Anolis sagrei: one gene and its partner. The protein of the gene in region 2 purifies or fractionates together with the protein of the main gene of each other region. This does not show direct contact. Links are inferred from orthologs where the notes say so. Each region holds a gene or a part of one and is shown on either strand. Other genes may lie near its edges.

Region 1 (6,961 bases), on a different chromosome or scaffold from region 2:
GAAACAACGCTGATGGAATCATTCCAGGAGTTGCATGTGACGTCTGTAGACAGTCCACATTTCACAGGCATACAGCAGGGTTGTGAGGACAATAGCTTTATAAACAAGCACCTAAGTATCCCTACGGATGTCCCAGTCCCCAAACACTCTCTGCTTCATTTGGAAAAATGCTGCACTCGCAGAGCTCAGGCGGTGTTGTATTTCAGTGTAAATGTTGACTTTTGTGGAGATGTGGCTGCCAAGGTAGCAGAAATGGTCAACATTTTCTAATGCTACACCATTAAGCTGTATTTCTGGCATTGGAGAAGGATTGGCCGGTGACTGCTGGAAGAGCACTTTGGTTTTCTCGATGTTCAATGACAGGCCGAGTTTCTCATATGCTTCTGTGAAAGTGTTTAGAGTGGCTTGTAGGCCTTTTTCTGAATGTGCACAGATGATGTCATTAGCATACTGGAGTTCTATAACATGTTGTTGTAACCTTAATTTTGGCTTTCAGCCTGCTGAAATTAAATAGCTTGCCATCTATCTGATAGATGATTTCCATTCCAGTGGGAAGCTTCCTGTCAACAAGATAAAGTATCTTAGCGATGAAGATGGAGAATAAAGTTGGGGCAATAACACATCCCTGTTTGACACCTGATTCCACCTTAAATGGGTCACTTTGGGAACCACTGCTGTCCAGGACAGTTGCCATCATGTCATCATGAAGGAGCCGCTGGATGTTCAGAAATTTGTTGGGGCACCTGACTTTTTGGAGCATGGTCCAGAGAGCGCTGTGGCCCAGTGGGTTTCTGTATCCATGGTTCAAAAGATTGCAGTTTCGTCTGTAAGAGCATCCTGGGCAGGCCAGCAGTGATCTGCAGCTCAGGAAAGGAAAGGTTTATTAAAGAGAAGGTTTTGTGTCAGTAAAGCGACACAAAGTTTCACTTTAGAGAGGAAAAGTTACAATCTAGGATACTTTTATTGGGGGGTTAGCTACAATGAAACAGGGTGAGCTCAGTTAGGTTTGTTGTTCATTCGTTCAGTCGTCTCCGACTCTTCATGACCTCATGGACCAGCCCACGCCAGAGCTCCCTGTCGGCCGTTACCACCCCCAGCTCCCTCAAGGTCAGTCCAGTCACTTCAAGGATGCCATCCATCCATCTTGCCCTTGGTCGGCCCCTCTTCCTTTTGCCTTCCACTTTCCCCAGCATAATTGTCTTCTCTAGGCTTTCCTGTCTCCTCATGATGTGGCCAAAGTACTTCAACTTTGTCTCTAGTATCTTTCCCTCCAGTGAGCAGTCGGGCTTTATTTCCTGGAGGATGGACTGATTGGATCTTCTCGCAGTCCAAGGCACTCTCAGCATTTTCCTCCAACACCACAGCTCAAAAGCATCGATCTTCCTTCGCTCAGCCTTCCCTAAGGTCCAGCTCTCACATCCGTAGGTGACTACAGGGAATACCATGGCTTTGACTAGGCGGATCTTTGTTGTCAGTCTGATGTCTCTACTCTTCACTATTTTATCGAGACTGGACATTGCTCTCCTCCCAAGAAGTAAGCGTCTTCTGATTTCCTGGCTACAGTCTGCATCTGCAGTAATCTTTGCACCTAGAAATACAAAGTCTGTCACGGCCTCCACGGTTTCTCCTTCTATTTTCCAGTTGTCAATCATTCTTGTTGCCATAATCTTGGTTTTTTTGACGTTTAGCTGCAACCCGGCTTTTGCGCTTTCTTCTTTCACCTTGATTAGAAGGCTCCTCAGCTCCTCCTCGCTTTCGGCCATCAGAGTGGTGTCATCTGCATATCTGAGGTTGTTAATGTTTCTTCCAGCAATTTTCACCCCAGCCTTGCATTCATCAAGCCCCGCACATCGCATGATGTGTTCTGCATACAAGTTAAAAAGGTTGGGTGAGAGGATGCAGCCTTGCCGTACGCCTTTCCCAATCTTGAACCAGTCTGTTGTTCCGTGGTCAGTTCTTACTGTTGCTACTTGGTCCTTGTACAGATTCCTCAGGAGAGAGACAAGGTGGCTTGGGATGCCCATCCCACTAAGAACTTGCCACAATTTATTATGATCCACACAGTCAAAGGCTTTAGAATAGTCAATGAAGCAGAAGTAGATGTTTTTCTGAAACTCCCTGCCTTTTTCCATTATCCAGCGGATATTGGCAATCTGGTCTCTCGTTCCTCTACCTTTTCTAAACCCAGCTTGGACATCTGGCAACTCTCGCTCCATGTATTGCTGGAGTCTTCCTTGCAGGATCTTGAGCATTACCTTACTAGCATGAGAAATAAGGGCCACTGTACGGAAGTTTGAGCAGTCTTTCGCATTTCCCTTTTTTGGTATGGGGATATAAGTTGATTTTTTCCAGTCTGATGGCCATTCTTGTGTTTTCCATATTTGCTGGCAAATGGCATGCATCACCTTGACAGCATCATCTTTTAAGATTTTAAACAGTTCAGCTGGGATCCCGTCGTCTCCTGCTGCCTTGTTGTTAGCAATGCTTCTTAAGGCCCATTCAACCTCACTCCTCAGGATGTCTGGTTCTAATTCATTCACCACACCGTCAAGACTATCCTCAATATTATTATCCTTCCTATACAGATCTTCTGTATAGTCTCGCCACCTTCTCTTGATCTCTTCAGCTTCTGTTAGGTCCCTGCCATCTTTGTTTCTTATCATACCAATTTTTGCCTGAAATTTACCTCCAATGTTTCTAATTTTCTGGAAGAGGTCTGCCACAACCGTCCCGTCTTGGGTGGCCCTTCACGGTTTCGCTCATGACATCATTGAGGTGCTCAAGCTCCAGCGCCCCGACAAGGCGGTGATCCTTTGCTGGAGTCAGTTAGGTTAGAAGAGGAAAATCTCTGTGTTAAGGCTGCTGGTAGAGCCACAGTCACTTTGTCTTTATCAAGTCCAGGTTCTGAGGAACTGCGGAACTCCCTGCTGTGACTCAGCTTGAAGTCAGGGACCTGTGTGCTCGTCCTCATTGTCAGTAGGTGACTTGTGGCATTTGGCAGCAATTCCTCTAGCGGATTTTGAGTTATGATGTCACTTATATATAGCATTTATAGCAAATAGACTAGCCGTCTCCTGCCACACGTTGCTGTGGCCCAGTCTTTTGATCTGAAAAATAAAGTAATGAGAAAGTGTTGGTTTCTAATATATGTGATTTCTTTATGTTTGTGGGTAAACAGTATTTCTTGCTGTTTCTTTGTCAGTGTTGATGTGGAGATTGTCTCGTTTGACTACTCTGGAACATGCAACATATAATTGTCCTTCTTCAGGGGTCCCTTTCAAATCTATGATACTATATCTGTGTATGTGTGAATCATATATATCTCAATATCACAACTACAACTCTCTATCTATCTATCTATCTATCTATCTATCTATCTATCTATCTATCTATCTATCTATCATCTATCTGTCTCTATGGCTGGATGGCTCTTTGTCAGGAGGACTTTGATTACGTTTGCTTGCCCTGATGAAGGGAGGCCTTAAGTATTTTCCGTTGGTCATGAGGGTTCTCTGTGGGAAGTTTTAGATAGATAGAGATTCAGTTACATAGATTTAGCTTTCTCTGCCAGACTTGAAAGTTGCTCTTCAGTAGCAGTTCCCTTGTCACTGAGATATTCCAGGCTAAAAGGGGTTTAGATCTTTGTAACAGAGGATTATGGATTTTGGGGGGAAGGAGATGCCCCCTCATGCCTTTCATTCTCCCGAATACTAATCCCCTCAGAATCAATGGGTTTGGGCCATTGTAGGCCGTGAGGAGGCGGTTGCTAGGCAACGGGGAGGGCGGGGCCGCGGGGGGAGAGGAGACGTGCCGCGCGCCACGCAGCGCCGCCTCTTCTTCCACTTCCGCCTCCTGAGCCTATCAGAGGCGGTTCCTGCAATGAAGTCCGCCCCTTCCTTTCCTTTCCCTTCCCTTCCCTTCCTCCTCCTGGCCTTGGAGTCTGCAGTTCGGCGGGAGGACTGACGAGGTGAGTCGCCCTCCATCTCCTCTACGTTGAGGCAGCCACTTTGGTCGGGAGTTAGGAAGAACGACGAGAGTTATCCTCATGTTGTTGTTTTATTTGTCTCTTTATTTCCCTCGGGTTGCAGCTACTACACTGTAGAGTTAAGGCAGTTCAGCACCACTTTTACCTGCCATGGCTCAGTGCTATAGACTCTTGGCAGCTGTGGTTTGACAAGGCGGAGAAGGCCGGAGGCAAAGCCACAACTCCTGTGAGGCCATAGTATGAGCCCTAGCCATTCAAGTGGTGTCAGACTGCATTAATTTTAGAGTGTAGCTGCACCAGAGGAAATGGTTTCCCTCCATTACTCAATAAACCAGGCATGGGCAAACTTCGGTCTTCCAGGTGAACATCGGATCTCTTACAAGATACTGATCCTGACATTTAGAGCTCAAAATGGCCAAGGACCTTTATATCTTAGGGACCGCCTCATTCCTTTTCCCCATCAGTGGTCACCTCGATCCACCCAGGAAAATCTCCTCTACATACCGGGTCCTAGGGAGGCACATTTGGGAGCTATAAGGCGTAGAGCTTTTTCGATCAATGCTCCAATTCTGTGGAACTCATTGCCTCCATATATTAGAGCAATGTCGGAGTTGCGACCTTTTGCAAAGGTGCTCAAGACTTGGCTGTTTGGCTGTGCATTTAAGTAACTGGATCAAATTTTGCCATAGTCACTGCTGAATGTTTTTATGTTGAATGTTTTTATATTGAATGTTTTATATTGTGTATTTTAAATTGTAAGTCGCTCGGAGCACCTTGGTGGAGAGCGACTAATTAAGAAATAAAGTGATGATGATGATGATGTTTTGGACTCCAACTCCCACAATTCGAATTGTGAGAGTTGGAGTCCAAAACACCTGGAAGGCCAAAGTTTGCCCATGCCTGCAACAAACCTTTCAATGCAATATTTATTTTTGTGTTTTGGGCCCAAAAAGTGGAAGTTATTTGGTTTGCTTCCTTCGGGAGGCCTTTCTGTCTGTTTTTTGGGACACAACAGTATTACCACACTATTATTTTATGTATTTATTTATTATTCAAACTCATATTCTGCCACTCCCCTGGGGCTCGGAGCGGCTTACAAGAACAGGCTAAAATCTAACACAATTTAAAAACAGCAATACCAAAGATCAAAGGCCTGTCGAAACAGATATGTCTTACATGCCCTGCGGAAAGCTGATAAGTCCCGCAAGGCACCGACTTCAGGTGGCAGAGTATTCCAGAGTGATGGTGCCACTGCTGTAAACGCTCTGCGTCTGGTTGCTGTTAGACGCAAGGTCTTGACATTGGGAATTTCAACAAATCTTGGTCCTCAGAACAGAGGGATCTCTGGGGTTAGTAGGGGGAGAGGCAGTCCTTCAGGTACAGCAGCCCCAGACCATGCAAGGCCTTAAAGGCGAGTACCATCACTTTGAAAGTGATCCAGTGTTCAATTGGTAACCAATGCAGCTGCAGTAAGATTGGTGTTATGTGGCATCTCATCGGAATTCTTGCACGAAGCCGAGCAGCTGAATTTTGTACCAACTTGGGCTTCCGGATCACCAACAGAGGAAGGCCACTGTAACTGTAACACAGGAAGGCCACTGTTATTCCACTGTAACTGCATGGAAACCTTATGTGGTTCATAATTTAGTGAGGCCTGGAAGCCGATTCTAAAAGCAGGCAGTCCCCGAGTTACAAACACCTGACTTACAAACAACTTTAGTTAAGAACGGGGTTGAGACAATGGGAAGGGAGAGAAATCTGCCCCCCAGAAGGGAAATTGGCTCTGGAAGGAATTATTATCATTTCGAAATTCAATGATCACACGGACAGAAAGCGAGGTGAAATCTTCTGAACAGGATCACAGACAGCAAAACAAACACCACAGGAGTGGTAACCCTTTCCTATGCTATCCAAATATAATTTTTGGTTGGAGTTACACTTTAAAAATATATATGTTTCAACTTTTATACAAATTCAACTTAAGAACAAACCTATAGTGCCTTTTTTGTAACTTGGGGACTGCCTGTATTCCAGGTTGCCGTGGCAGTTAAAATGAAAGAACATAACTAAAATAATGTGGTGTAAGATAGGGCCCTCTATCCCCAAAATGTATAGCATTTTTGCACCCTATATTGTTATAGCTATCTCATTTTGCTTTAAATGCCCATGGCAGCATGATATGGAATGTTGTAATTTGCAGTTTTGAAACTTCTCTGCTAAAAAACTTTTGGATCTCACTAAATTACAAATCCCAGAACTCAAAATGACAGTTAAAGTGAGATAATAGTGCTGGAGCAGTGTAATGTAATGGAGCTCTTGTCTTTGTAGTATCCCTCATTTTTAAAATGAGGGTGTGAACTTAATTTTAATTCCAGTCATTCATATGAATGGATTTGTTAGTTACCGTTCATCTAACTCATTGTTTGCATCTAAAATTGGATTTTGCCCAAAATGTGTGAATCTCCTTTTGTGCATGATTTGGTAGTTGTTCATAGGGTCAGTATAAGTTGAAGTTGACTTGAAAACAGTTAATAACAATCAGAGTACTACCAAGTCTTTTGCTTTGCATGTTACATCTCGCGTTTGAAGTTTTATAGTAAGCATAGTTCAACTGGTGTAGACAAATGTGCATCAAGGCCATTTTAACTTATGGAGATACAATTAAATCGCTCAGCAAATAATTTCATGGTCAGTTGGTGTTCAGTGCACTGTTTAATAAAAGAATCCCTTACACAATAGACATGTTTTTCCAGAATGGAGCACCTGACATCTGGGGTAGCAGGGAAGAAAGGATAGACGAGGACAATGGTGGTTGGTTGATTGATTGATTGATTGATTTCTGTGTTTGTGTGCCTTCAAGTCATCTGCCAGCTTAGGGCAAACCGATTCACACAGTTTTCTTAAGCATGGAATATATGAAGGTATTTTTGCCCATTCCTTCCTCTGAAAGATAGTCTACAGTAGTAGTAATGACAA
Region 2 (7,326 bases):
TCTACACTGTAGAATTATGATGCAGTTGTACAAGGTCTTCAGCCTTCTTCTCCACCAGTGTGCTGGTGCCTCACCAAACTACAACTCCCATGATTCCCTAGCATTGAGCCATGGCAGTTAAAGCAGTGTCAAGCTGCATTCATTCTAGAGCAAAACGTGCACCCCAAGTCAGGCGAGAATGACATGTGGTGGTGATACTTGACAGTTAATGGCAGCTAATTGTTAAGTATCAGTAATGCTACTGAGTTTCTTTTCACCAGTACAGGCAGTCTCCAAGTTATGAACAAGATTAGTTCAATAGGTTTGTTCTTAAGTTGAATTGGAACAGGTACATTTTAAGTGTAACTCCAGCCAAACATATTAAGCTTTGGATAGTATAGGGAACATGTGTGTGGAGTTTGTTTTGCTGTCTGTGCCCATTCAGAAGATTTCACCTCACTTTCTGTCCCTGGATTTTGAAAAAAAAAAAAAAAGGCTTGTTGTGGAAACAAGGATTGGTGAGAAAGCTTCGGTGGAGACATCTTTTCCCCATGAGAGTAACTCTTACAGAAGTGAGTTTTCCTTCTGAGGGGAAGATTTCTCTCACTTCCTGTTGTTAGGTGTAAGTCGTTTGTAATTCAGGGACTGCTTGTAATCTAATAAATAATATATACACTGCTTTTACAACTAGCATCCCTTTGGACAACTGGACCATGGGAGTCTTCAGCACAAACAGTAGTTTGTGTGTTTTCATTAATGGCATTAAAAGTTTGTCACTTTTTTGTGTGAAAACCTCCCTGAATCTCCTTGGGGAGATAGGGCAGGTTATAAATAAAGTATTACTATTAATATATTATAATACTGCCATACAGTCCAGTTCAAAGCAGCTATGGTGGGCTTTTCTGCCTTGATATTCTGAGTACTATGTGTGGAAAGGCCCAAAGTCAACACTATGCTTTTATTAATTGTTTATGCTTTTATTAATTACTCTGTATTTTTTTAATTTATTTATTGTAAGTTATATTGATGTTGTTGTGCTTTTGGTTTGGTTTGTGTTTTTATCAATGGCATTGAATGCTTGCCACTTTTTTGTGCAGAAACCACTGTGAGTCCCCTTGGGGAGATAGGACAGGTTATAAATAAATTATTATTATGGGTTAAACCCTTGTGCTGGCAGGACTGCTGACCGAAGAGTCAATTATTCAAATCCAGAGAGCAGGCTGAGCTCCCGTCTGTCAGCCCCAACTTCCCATGCGGGGACATGAGAGAAGCCTCCCACAGGATGGTAAAACGTCAGGGCGTCCCCTGGGCAACGTCCTTGCAAGTGGCCAATTCTCTCACACCAGAAGCAACTTGCAATTGCTCAAGACACAAAAATATTATATTATTATTATATTATATTATAATTATTAAAAACCCAACAAGATGAGTCCACAGCAGATGCTCTGCTGGCTGTTGAATTGGATCACATGTCGGACACTTCCCAAGTGTCTAGCACTGTGTGATGTATCAGCGAATAATGTGTGCAGATCCCAGTAAGGTGGCCTTATCATCATCATCATTATTATTACACTACCATATAACCCAGTTCAAAGCATATAATGTGGGATTTTACTCAACTGTGTGGAAGGCCCCAGTACAAATCAGATATTGTGGATGACCTGTCTTGATATTCTGGGTTGTGTGGCTGTGTGGAAGGGCTCAGAGTCAACACTGCCATATAACCCAATTCAAAGCAGATACTGTAGGATGATCAGCCTTGATATTCTGGGTTGTGTGGAAGGGCTCAGAGTCAGCACCGCCACATAACCCAGTTCAAAGCAGATATTGTGGGGTTTTCTTGATATTCTGGGTTGTGTGGAAGGGCTCAGAGTCAGAACTGCCATATAACCCAGTTCAAAGCAGATATTATGGGGTTTTCTTGATATTCTGGGTTGTGTGGAAGGGCTCAGAGTCAGCACTGCCATATAACCCAGTTCAAAGCAGATATTATGGGGTTTTCTTGATATTCTGGGTTGTGTGGAAGGGCCCAGAGTCAGCACTGCCATATAACCCAGTTCAAAGCAGATATTATGGGGTTTTCTTGATATTCTGGGTTGTGTGGAAGGGCTCAGAGTCAGCACTGCCATATAACCCAGTTCAAAGCAGATATTATGGGGTTTTCTTGATATTCTGGGTTGTGTGAAAGCGCTCAGAGTCAACACTGTCTTATAACCCAGTTCAAAGCAGATATTGTGGGGTTTTCTTGATATTCTGGGTTGTGTGTAAGTGTGGAAAGACTTAGAGTCAACACTGCCATATATCCCAATTCAAAGCAGATATTGTGGGATGATCTTCCTTGATATTCTGGGTTGTGTGGCTTTGTGGAAAGCCCTGATGTTGCCTGGCCCCACTTGGACTGCCTGTGACTCAACGCTTTGGCATCCTGGGAGTTGCAGTTCCACCTTTCCTTGCCGAAGAGTGCTGGCGGTGTCTACAACTCCCAGGGCCGCGTACCATTGGCAGTTAGGAGGAAGAGTGGGCCAATTCTACAGTCTCCAAAAAGGCCACATGGCTGGCCTGAGAGAGAGAGAGAGAGGAGGCGGAAACTTCAATTGCTGCCGTCCAAGAGGCACAAGGCGGCGGCGTCCTGTCACATGCCAAGGGAGGGAAGGAAGACAGACAAACAGACAGAGCATCCTTCCCCTCCAAAGCCCCCTCCTCCCTTCCTTCCTTCTCACCCTCCTGAATACTCACTCGTCCCCCAATCCACCGGCTTCCTGGCCTGGGCCCGCGCTGTGGCCGCCGTTGTTGCTGGGCGTTTCCAAAGAGGAGGAGGAGGCGGAGGCAGGCGGCGGGCCTTTGCCGGGCTCCTCCAGGATCCCCTCCGAGCGGGTGCACATGGAGCGAGGCACGAGGCGCAGGGAAGGCGCCGGGCGGAGCCACCGCAGCTCCGGAGGCCTCCGGCAGCAGCCCCCGCCCGTCACCGCCACCCCCGGCGGCCCGCCCTGGCTCAGCCGCAGCAGGTCCCTCAGCAGCGCCGGGCTCCGGAGCCGCATCATCGCGCCGAGGTCCTCTCCCGCCGCCGCCTCGGAGGGAAGTGGCCGCGGCTGCCCGCGCGTCGCTCGCGCGCCCCGCCGGCCCCGCCCCCCAAGCCGCGCCATTGGGTAAAGCGTCAGGCGGTCTGGGAGCGGATTGGTCTCCACGCGCGCCCGTCTCCAGAGCCTGGCCCTGTCAGGGAGAGAAAGATGTGGCGCACTTGGAGCTGGGCCCAGCCAGGCTGAGGGAGGGGAAAGAAGGGGCGCCTCACAGGCAGGGCTGAGGGGAAGAAAAGTTTGCATCCAGTATTCTTGTGGTTTTGGGCCCTGCCTTCCCACAAAAATGTGCCACACACACAGGCCCCTTCCACACAACTGTCTAAAATCCCCATTGAACTGGATTAAATGGCAGTGTAGACACAGGGCCCTTCCACACAGCCATACAACCCAGAATATCAAGGCAGACAATCCCACAATATCTGCTCTGAACTGGGTTAAATGGCAGTGTAGACTCAGGGCCCTTCCACACAGCCATACAACCCAAAATGTCCACAATATCTGCTCTGAACTGGGTTAAATGGCAGTGTAGACTCAGGGCCCTTCCACACAGCCATACAACCCAAAATATCAAGGCAGACAATCCACAATATCTGCTTTGAACTGGGTTAAATGGCAGTGTAGACTCAGGGCCCTTCCACACAGCCATACAACCCAAAATATCAAGGGAGACTATCCACAATATCTGCTCTGAACTGGGTTAAATGGCAGTGTAGACTCAGGGCCCTCCCACACAGCCATACAACCTGGAATATGTGCTTTGATCTGAGGGCCCTTCCACACAGCTGAATAAAATCCCACATTTTCTGCTTTGAACTGGAATATATGCCAATGTGGACTCAGGGCCTTTCCATGCAACCATATAACCCAGAATATCAAGGCAGAAATCCCACAATATCTGCTTTGAACTGGGTTATCTGAGTCCAAACTGCCATATAATCCAGTTCAGTGTGGATTTTATACAGCTGCGTGGAAGGGTTTGTAGGCTCATATAATGCAGCCTACATGCATTATATGAGCCAGCACTGACCATACATGGCATTTGGAACTGCATTATATGGCAGTGTAGATGTGGCCATAGAAACAACAAAGCAAGTGGTGAGGGAAAAGCTGTGTGATGGAGTACATCTAGTCTTTTTGAGGTTTTATTGTTCCACGTTCCTATAAAGCCAGTTTACATTTCAAAAAAGTTTTCATAACCCCCAATTGTGCCTTCATGTCCCACTCTAGAAAAATGCCATACTTCGATTCTAAGGACTAATTCTAATTCTTCTACACTCCAATCCAATAGGCTTTTATTGGCATATATAACAAGACAGTATAAAATACAGCATAAATTATAAAAAAAAGAAACTTCACATTTGCTACACGTTTGTTTACAGACTTCATTCAGGAACCTTGCCCCTTCTACACAAGTTTAAAATGCCTTGTACAGTCACATTATCTGCTTTGAACTGGACTATATGAGTCTATATGAATCGGTATGATGTTTTGAGATGGTTTTAAACAACTGATGTTAAAGTAGATATAACTAATTTTAATGGTTGTGTATATTTATACTTATTTTATGTTCCGGCATGGAATACTTGCCGTATATATGTTGTGAGTCCCCTTTGGGATGAGAAGGGCAGAATATAAATGTTTCTAATAATAATAATAATAATAATAATAATAATAATAATGTAATCCAGTTCAAAGCAGATAATCTGGATTATATGGCAGTGTAGAAGCTGCCTCAGGCCCCTTCCACAGAGCTGAATAAAATACCACATTTTTTTTTTTTTGCTTTGAACTGGAATACATGACAGTGTGAACTCAGATAGCCCAGTTCAAAGCAAATATTGTGGGGGTTTTTGCCTTGGTATTCTGGGTTATGTGGCACTGTAGAAGGGGCCTAAGAGACGTTACTACCAACAGGAGAAACAAAGCTGAAACTTGTATAGAGTATATATGTGCATGCACGTAAAACACATAGGATTCTAAAGTGTACCCAGTTTTTAGAAATATTTATGGCGGGGAGGGGGGGGAGAGTGTGTCTTCGAATTGAGGAGATACAGTATGTACTTAGTATCCATGGATACTTGAGTCCCTTTATATAAAGCAGCATAGTAAAATGTCTTTTAGATAAAATGGCAAATAAAGGTTTGTTTTCTGGAGTTTACTTGCTTGGTTTTGGGAAAATATTTTTGAGCCATATTTGGTTGATGGAGGACATAGATATACATGCAATGCTGGACTTTCAGGAAGAGCAGGATTAGAATTGGAGTTATTAAAGGGTTTGGTTTTTTTTAATGCCAGCTTTCTGTTGTTGCAGTTGTTTGCATTCAGGTTGTTTCCTAGTATTTATAACAACACTATGTAATACAATTTTTGTTTCTGGGTTATCAATGTCATTTCCTAATTGGTTATATCATAAAATTATGGAAAGCGTTTATTAAACTGCAAAAAAAATTGTTTTGTTTTGTTTTGTTTTTTTGCAGAACATCCTGCAGACGTTTTGCTCTAGTTTTTCAATGAATATCTCGTTGAGAGGCAACCCATTCAACCTAGTTTTTGGCAGCCACAAAAACGAAGTTTCTGGAGTACAACAACTACACTTTCAAAGTAAGTGCTTCACAATCAAACAAGAAATAACACTTTCAAACTAGGAACAGAATCTTTTTCAAATTGTGTTACATAGTGTCATTATGTGCAATTGCATATATCAAATGGCAAAATCAAAGTTTGCTTTTGGAGGAACTATTTTCAAGCCTTGGATAGCTGAGCACTCATTCCCCGGTTATATTAATGCCCCCTTTTACAACTCCACTCTTTTATGTGCTCTCCCTCATAAATAATCTGCTCCTCCTTATCTCACCCTGAGTTTTTAGTGTTTTTCCTGTACATGTGGCACGCTCAATGTCATTGTAATTGTGGATACTGTATTTTATATTTTGTATTGCTTACTGTATTCATATCTTTTTGTATTTTATTGCATTGCTGTGTGTTTTTGTGTTTTATTTTATTGTAATTGTTGTTTGGGCTGGGCCTCATGTAAGCCGCCCCAAGTCCCCATTGGGGAGATGGTGGCGGGGTATAAATAAAGATGATGATGATGATGATGATGATGATGATGATGGAGTCCTTGGATGCAGCATCCATGGAGGGCTGACTTCATGTGCATACTCTTGGAACACAAATTGAAAAAAATCCAAAAATCCTAGACATGTCTGGTCCCAAATATCTCAGATGCAAGACACTCAACCTGTATGAATTCACTCAGAGTATCTCCACCCGAAAAGAAAACAAGAGAAGTTGAAGGAGGCCCAGATGTGAAGGGAGGGAGCCCTGGCCAGTGTAGGACAGATGGCCAGGAGAAATAGTGTGGGTAGGCAGATGTGCCAAAGGGCACGTAGCTATAGGATTCTTCAGTTGGCTGTCGATGGGATTAGATGAGATCCACAGGCATTGCTGGCCTCACACACAAAAAAAGGGCTCAAGCTGGGCTTCAATCTGCCAGCATCCCCTCCCTAGACTTTTCCTTCTTTCTGCATCTTCTTTTCCTCCTGCTGCATCTTTCTTTTTCTCTCACTTTCTGGAAGTCTCATTTTCTTAGTTGACTTGCTGATGCTAAAGAGCAGTGGGAAAGCAAACCTCCCTGGATTGACATCTCCATTGGGAAAAAATAAAATATGGTTTTCATTTTCTTTCCGTTACATTTAGACTCGAGAGAGAAGAAAGCAGTGGAGGATGCCTGCCAAAAGTGGATGCTTTCAAAAGACAACCGACTTTTAGCAATACATTTCTGTGCCCTGTTGGCCAGAGCACGCAGGATGGTACATTAAATTGGTTTCCATTAAAATGGAGATGTTTTTTTCTTCATAGGAAGAAAAAATGTCAAAAACCAGCAACTTGGTGTTAAAATGATTTAAGGATTTTCAGGAAGTGTTGATTTAAGCGTGTATTACATATGCAGCAGTTTCTGTTCCTGATTTATTTTAAAATGTGTTAGCACTGGAGGGAACAGCTGTAATATTACGCTATATTTACCATGGCAACTGTTTGCTTTCTGGAAATACTAAACGTGCTGCCATCTTCTGGGCAAAAGGAAAATACTCAACTGAGATGTTAAAAGCCACGCACTTACAGTAATAATTCATATGCTTATATTTGGGATGAAATTCCTTTAATGCCAAGATTAGTGAAAAATATCACAGTGTAGTAAAATAATGTAGTGGTTCTTTATTGACAATTCATCCTTTCATAGGTTTAAGGTTCATATCCTTTAATCAAA

Evidence for each region.
Region 1: the proteins of GLS (region 2) and SIRT5 purify together in Homo sapiens (affinity purification with western blotting; 3 studies listed by BioGRID and IntAct, with this or other methods). This does not show direct contact. The link is inferred for Anolis sagrei from reciprocal best matches to the Homo sapiens genes GLS and SIRT5.

The regions. Positions count from the first base shown.
Region 1 is NC_090024.1:80,003,416-80,010,376, forward strand, and holds the start of SIRT5 (NAD-dependent protein deacylase sirtuin-5, mitochondrial), read left to right. Parts: upstream 1-3,870; 5' UTR 3,871-3,967; intron 3,968-6,961. UniProt on the Homo sapiens protein: NAD-dependent lysine demalonylase, desuccinylase and deglutarylase that specifically removes malonyl, succinyl and glutaryl groups on target proteins.
Region 2 is NC_090021.1:182,826,578-182,833,903, forward strand, and holds the start of GLS (glutaminase kidney isoform, mitochondrial), read right to left. Parts: upstream 3,065-7,326; 5' UTR 3,021-3,064; coding exon 2,716-3,020; intron 1-2,715. UniProt on the Homo sapiens protein: Catalyzes the first reaction in the primary pathway for the renal catabolism of glutamine. Plays a role in maintaining acid-base homeostasis. Regulates the levels of the neurotransmitter glutamate, the main excitatory neurotransmitter in the brain.